Linked DNA regions of Arabidopsis thaliana. The protein of the gene in region 1 interacts with the protein of each later gene in a pairwise test. Each region holds a gene or a part of one and is shown in the gene's direction. Other genes may lie near its edges.

Region 1 (3,941 bases):
TAAGTTAAAAAAAAAAAAAACTAACAAGATAAAGCGTAAAAGTTTTAAGTCTCTAGTTTGTTTTAAATCACTAATTGCAACAACAAAACATTTTTACAATGGAATACTTCTAATGTTGAATGATTTGAGTTAAGACGACCAAAGATTAAGAAGATAAACCAGAGAGAGTCGATAGAGATAGAAAGGTTAAGTTCATGTGCTGAACCAAGATTATTGGAGAAGCTCATCATATACTCTTTTCTTTTTGTTAAACCGTGTTACATCATTAGCTAGACTCCAATTTTTTTTAAGTTTTATGATCATTGTGATTTGTAAAGAAATTTGTTATAGACATTGAACTTGTAATCTCTTATTTAATTTGCAAAAAACAATATTTAACCAACTGATCAACAACGGTCATTTAATCGTACAATATAATTCTTATAAAATATCATGTTTATTTGCGAACATATAAAGTCAACCCCGATCAGCAACAACCTTCTCCAAAATTTGTGTGAATTCAATTATTTCTTCACTATATTTGCAAGAATGTGGTTATACTATACTTTTGTGTGATATTTTCAATTAAAATAGAGTTTAGTGATATGATCCACATGACAATATCCCTTAAAACATGATTAGTCAGTCGAATTAATCGGTCATGTGTTTCACTAGTGGTGTGAATGTGAATCAATCAGTTTGTAAACTATGAGGAGATTCATACGTTAATCATGCTTGTAACTTGTAAGGGATTATCATCATATCTGGTTTTAAAAGGACAATTTGCAAGGGAAATTAAAACTTTAAAAGGCTATTAATTGAAGGGGAAAAGGAAAAAAAGAAGAAGAGAATTGATGGATACATAAAATACTAGCTAGTATTTAAAGTGATGAGGATATCATGTGCTCCCATTGGCCCCATGTCTTCATCAAATATTTTGATGCCACAATTTGGAATATTCTTTTGATTAGTTTATCAATCATTTAATCCTAACCAGAAGTAATTTGTATTTCAATAAAAACAATGTTCTAAAAGGGATTTGGAGGATTAATTTAGATTAAAGCGAAGGATGAAATAAAGAGTACTAACAGATTGAGATTATCAAGGTAACTTTTTGGTTGCTTGTGTGATTCGTTACAAGCTAGCTAAAATAAGATAATGGTTTTTATATAAAGGTAATCAGGTTGGATGTAATCGGGAATCGCACTAAGTAAGTTGACCAGATTCGTTTAACACTAACATTACATTATAAAACACACTTATAATACCATCTTATACAGTTTAATTATGAACTACCATTCAAAAATCACATTTCATCTTCATGCGCATGACACACCATACTTCCTTTACCAACTTTTTTTTTCTCATTTCTATATTCAAATCATCAATAAGAAAATCACACTAGAAACCATTTTTTTTACGTGAGAGAAGGACGTCGAGACACATTCACTTTGCTTGAACAAAAAAAAACACATTTAATTAAAATGACAAAAATAATGAATAGAGAGAGAGACATTATCAGAATATATCCAAAGAAAATAACTCATTAATTAATAAATCCAAATGGAAGAAATGATAAATATAGAGAGACAAGCAGGTCACAGAGGAAACGAGTGACGAACAAATCATAAATAAACACGTGTCATGTTATCGTAATAACACACAACAGAGTAAGTAATGCCACGTGGCTTATCGAGTTTTTATAAAGACAAGACAGAAGAAGTAGCTCAGATCCACTCACACCTCGTCTCCTAATCTGTACGGTTCTTATTTCGAAAGGGTAAAAACCAAAAGCGACGCAAAGGGCAAAATCGGAAAAAGTGTTTTATTTATGGCCGCCGTTAGTAGTTCGTCGGAGACCGGAGACTGCGGCGTTACGGGAAAGAGAGATGAGATCATGTTGTTCGGAGTTAGAGTCGTGGTTGATCCGATGAGAAAGTGTGTGAGTTTGAACAATCTCTCTGATTATGAAAAGTCTTCTCCGGAGGATGAGATCCCTAAGATAGTCACCGCCGGAGCTGGAGATGGTGAAGATAAGAACGAAACGGATGCGACGGTGATTGTCGCTGACGGTTACGCCTCCGCCAATGACGCTGTCCAGATTTCGTCTTCTTCCGGCGGGAGGAAACGAGGTACTACTCTTTTTCTGATTCTGATAAGAGCTTAGGATTCTGATTGATTGTATTATTAGAATGTCTCTAATTTGAATCTTATCCAATTCGTGATTGAATCTATGCATGTTGGAATTTATGTCGGTGATTGATTGGTTTTGAGCTATGGATTCGTTGTCGTTGATTATTGTTTGTTTGTGTTGAACAAAACAGGGGTTCCATGGACAGAGAACGAGCATAAGAGGTTCTTGATTGGGTTGCAGAAAGTAGGAAAAGGAGATTGGAAAGGAATATCAAGAAACTTTGTGAAGAGTAGGACTCCTACTCAAGTAGCTAGTCATGCTCAGAAATACTTCCTCCGACGAACCAACCTCAACCGTCGCCGAAGAAGATCTAGCCTTTTTGATATCACTACTGAGACGGTAAATCTCTACTCTTATCCTAAATCATTTTATGTTAGCTAAATCATATGTGAATGAAAAGGTCTAGACTTTAGCTTAGTTGATAGAACTTAACTTTCTTACTTTCTTTGGTGTTCTCTGCTTTCTCAAAGCTCTTTCCTTTCTTAGGTTTTTAGTATTTCTTCTTTAGAACTTAAAGACAAAGTAATATGGAGAAGTATCATAATGATTTTTGGTCTAATTGGGTATATATCTTTTAAGTTGTAGTTTATAAACAATAATGGTAAGTGTGTGACAGTTAGGTGTGATTGGTTTGATCAGGTTACAGAAATGGCCATGGAGCAAGATCCTACTCAGGAGAACTCACCACTACCTGAAACCAACATCAGCTCTGGACAGCAAGCGATGCAAGTTTTTACTGACGTGCCGACAAAAACTGAGAATGCACCAGAGACATTTCATCTCAACGATCCATATCTGGTTCCAGTAACCTTCCAAGCAAAGCCAACATTCAATCTAAACACAGATGCTGCTCCACTTTCTCTCAACCTTTGTCTGGCATCCTCATTTAATCTTAACGAGCAACCCAACTCAAGACACTCGGCTTTCACGATGATGCCAAGCTTCAGCGATGGAGATAGCAATAGCAGCATCATCAGAGTTGCTTAGAGCTTAAACCCAAGGTGAATCTACAAGACCTTGTTTCTTTCTTTGTTTCTCTGTTGTTGTAGTACTAGTAGTACATATTAGGTATAAACAGATAAGAAAAAAGAACCCTATTAAGTCTCAGTCCTGTTTTTGATCTTTCTTTAGGCCTTACTTTGTCAAACTTTTATGTATTTTGTCTGAAAATATAATCAGGGGAAAAAAAAAACAGAACAAAAACAGAGGAAGGCTATAGAGATTGATGGACAAACTGTGTCTAGGGTGCTTCATCATCTTTGTTTGTTTGTAAAACTCTTGTCACACACACTGTTATGAGTCATTTTCTGCTGTGTGTGTTTTGTTTTGTGGTGATGTAAGTTAAAAACAAGCGTGATTCTCATGTGGCCCATCTCAATCAATGGTTGGTGATTTGTGGGGTTTTTAGGCTTTTCTATTATCTTATCTTTTGGGGATAAGATAAAAGCCTAAAACTGTATGTAACTATGTATGGTTCTTCGAATATTTTATCATTTATCTCTAATGTCATAATAATGTTGCCAATTTCATATGCCACTTCGACTTTTGTGGATTTTTTTTTTTCTCTTTCCCTAGCAAACACCATTTTTCCCTATAGTACATGACAATCCAAAAAACAGAGTAAATTTTAAAGAAAAAGAATCTAATTTTGTCAATTTTACTTGTCTGCGATTAGCCGTTATTTCAGGTATTATTGGTCAAATTAATTCTTTTCCCAATCCAAATATAGAGGACTAGATAATAAAGCTAATAACCTCTGTTTTTTTTG
Region 2 (3,831 bases), on another chromosome or scaffold:
TTCTCCGAAACTTTACTCCGCCATCGGGAAAAAGACTCCACCCACAGCCTCTTCCATGGAGCAATTCAATGAAAGCTCTTATGCGTTAATCGCACGAGCTTATTATGGTTATAAGATGATCCGATATTTTTTGCAGCTAGCCTTTAAATTTGAATCTCTATAGATTCCAAAAGATCTTGTAGCCTTTGCAATCTTGTTAAAGTTATGCATCTTGGAAAACTCATTGAACCTTTATCCTTATCTTTCATGTAATGTTTTAAGCTTAAGTTGTATGAACTCACCTCTTTTATATATATATATATATATATATATATATATATATATATATTGAATTTCACATTTTTAAATATTTGTTCGACATATATCATTTCACTCCAAGAGTGCTGCTAACAAAAAGAAAATTGAGATTTCCTAGATATATATATTAAATTATTTAAGCAGTTCATGGCGATCATAAAAATATCAAACTAGAGGATGCGGTCATTTACTCCCCCAACTTTTAAATTGTGGCCATTTTATACAGTAATTTCATATGTGGTCATTTAAAACATGAAATAAATATTAATTAACGTTTGAGACATAAATATTCGTTGATCATGACAAAATAAACATGTCATTATTAGTCGGAACCTCTAATGCACATTATCACCCGTTTAACGACTCTGTTAGTTAACTTTCAAATTTTAGCTATTTTAAACATCAACTTCATCTGCAGTTATTTAAAACATGAATTAAACGTTGATAAATATTTGAAACATAAGCATTCATTGACTATGCCAAAATAAATATGCTGTCATCAGTCGTTAAAAAAACCTATAACATGTGTAAGTAAAGAAATAATTTTTTTATCTCACTTTCTTTTCTCTACTTTTTTATTTTCTTCTTTTTCTTTATGATCCTAGTATCTATTCCATCCAAATTATTTGGACTTTATAAAAAATTTAACATTTTCAATTTACCATTTTTAGTTTTTGTTTTTATATATCTTTCATTAGTTCCATCTATCTTTTTCACGTCTCTAAATTTTCGTATATTTCTTTGTTTCCGTAATTTGTTCTCTAATTGTTTTTGTCATTGTTTCTCTCTATTATTGATAATTTGTTATCTCTTTAATTATTATTGAATGTTCTTTTGTGTGTTATGATTTTCTAGTTCTGGTTTTTCTTCTTTAGTTGTTTAAAACTTTCTAAAACTATTTTTTGTTGTTAATTTTTTTCTTTACTTGCAGTAAGATTAAGTTATCTTCGTTAGTTTGAATATGGCGATTAAATCACCTAGAAAACAATGAAAGGATGCACTAAAAACTCATTTGTTGATGGTTTATGTTGCTTCTGAATTAAGTTTAATATTTATTTATTTTATGTTTCTAATTTATTGACTTTTAACATATTGACCTTCAAATTGTATAGTTTTTTTTGTTAAGATATTTTCATAGGCTTTTATATGCATTAGTAGTTGAACAAATGTTAAATTTTATTTGCTTTTAAATGATGAAGGTGATCCCGGAATAACTATTTTCATTTATTATATATGGTTACTTACTAAGTTATAACTTACAAGATAAGATTTTCGATAAAAACTTTTATTAGAAGATAAGATTGCAAATCTACACAATGCAAACTATAAATATTTATTTAATAATAATTAGTAAATAAACTTATAGAACTAAATAGGGATCCAAATAAGTAATATCACCAAACAAAATTAAGATAGAAGACACAACATCAACAAATGCTCTTTATGAATATATATTTCCTAAAGTAAACTACCTTATATATGTTAACATATATATTAAATCTGGATCTTGTCCATATTTTCAATTACTGAATCAAGGAATATGACAGGAAATCAAATTTTATATTGCATCCATATATTACCAAATAAATAAAGATGATTGCAGGGAAATAAATGAATAATTAAAGATTCTTTTATTTATAAATATTTAATATAATTTTATAATAGAGAACATAAAGTAGATTTTTTTCCTTTCGCATTTAAAGATTAATTTCCGTTTTTGAGGTTAATATATTTATTACGTAGTTTGTATTTGATATAAAAGGGTAAGACAAACAATAGAAAATATATACTCTATCTATCTTTCAAAATGTCTTCTATGCCAAATAAGTTCAATCCTCACTGTGATGATAACAATCGTGGTTTTTCCTCCATCCAAATGAATCAAAATTCTCAAATGGTTCATTCGAGGTTCATTACTTCGGATCACACAAACCATGGTGATCTGTTTTCATCATCTCCTTCTTTTTCTTGTTTTCATAATTCACATGCCTCTTCATCTTCATTTGGATTCCAAAATTCACATGTGGAAAATCATATGATGAAGAGAAACATAATTTCTGATGACAATTATTTTTCTATCACAAACAATCCTCATTTTACTCGAGTTTCTTTCACACAAACCATTACAAACAAATTTACAGCCATTGTTCCTACTAATACACTTGACGCTGTACAATATGATGCTCAACGTGTCAAACGTGCCATGAATCCCAAAACCAATATTTGGAATCCTATATTTTCTCCTCCAAATACTTTTGATAAACAATGCGAATTTTTGAATCCTAAACCTCTTAATGTCATTTTTCCGAGTCAAAATTCTGCATATCCTCAACATTTAGACATGTTTTCCTTGTCATCAAAGCACAATCATGATCAACGTGTTCTCCAAGATGGTCGTTCTATGAAGAAAATCTTGAAACCAACCATATTTTTTGAAGCAACTACTGATTACATTGAGTCTCAAGAAAACGAGAAAAGTAACAATGATCACAATGATGGTAGGACACATAGTCTACCATATGAAAAATATGGTCCATATACATGTCCCAAGTGCAATGGCGTCTTTAATACTTCTCAAAAATTTGCTGCACATATGTCATCTCACTACAAGAATGAAACAAGCGAAGAAAGAGAACAGAGAATTCGTGCAAAGAACAAAAGAAAATTTTGTAAACTAAATCGTGAAATTAATGGTGAGCCTCAAAAGACCAAACAAGAGGATGTGGCCAACAACAGTGAAAAAAGTGACGATAAAACTTTCCAACATCTTGTGGTCGTAAAAGAAGAGCTTGTTTAGGATTGTATCTCCTTAATATCTATTTTTCAATATATTATATGAAATTAATATTTGTCTTTTAATTCTAGTATTTCATTATATTTTGTTGTTATTATTCCTAAACCAAAATTGAACCAAATCAAATTCTCAAATCTATATATATACTGTTTACTGTTTATTTTATTTGGTTTGGTTCAATATAAACAAAACAGTATATATTTTGTTGTTATTATTAAGGAGAGTCCTTGCTCCATCTAATATATCCACATAAGCATCCACCTAAGCACCCATCTAAACATCACTATTTATTTTACATTAAAATAAATTTAAAACATTCATTTAGTGCATATTTCTATTACTTATAATTAATAAAAATAATTAAATAAATGAAAAATAAATTATGTAAATAAATGAGATATTAAAATAATAAAAAAATAATATTATAAAAATATAATTCAACTTTTAACTGATAAAAAATTTAAAAATGATCATACTTCAAAATTTTAAATGCATAAATGAGTTGTAGAATGGAATAAGTTTAAAATGCATGGTAGAATACAACTATATATATGTAATTCTATATGTAAAATTTTAAACAAAAAAAAAAGTAAAACATTAGTTTCTAAGAACAATATACTACATATTTTTCTTTATTATTAAATTTTTACTTAATGAAAAATAAAAATTATTAGATTCAATTTAAATTTATAATTTAAGACAAAGATATTGTAAGAGTCATACTTTATCTTGTGAGATTA

Evidence for each region.
Region 2: the proteins of AT1G19000 (region 1) and AT2G15740 interact in a two-hybrid assay, tested with the Arabidopsis thaliana proteins (one large-scale study listed by BioGRID).

What each region holds. Positions count from the first base shown.
Region 1 is NC_003070.9:6,560,554-6,564,494, reverse strand, and holds the start of AT1G19000 (Homeodomain-like superfamily protein), read left to right. Parts: upstream 1-1,703; 5' UTR 1,704-1,810; coding exon 1,811-2,111; intron 2,112-2,303; coding exon 2,304-2,512; intron 2,513-2,812; coding exon 2,813-3,160; 3' UTR 3,161-3,941.
Region 2 is NC_003071.7:6,856,009-6,859,839, reverse strand, and holds AT2G15740 (C2H2-like zinc finger protein), read left to right. Parts: upstream 1-2,104; coding exon 2,105-3,094; downstream 3,095-3,831.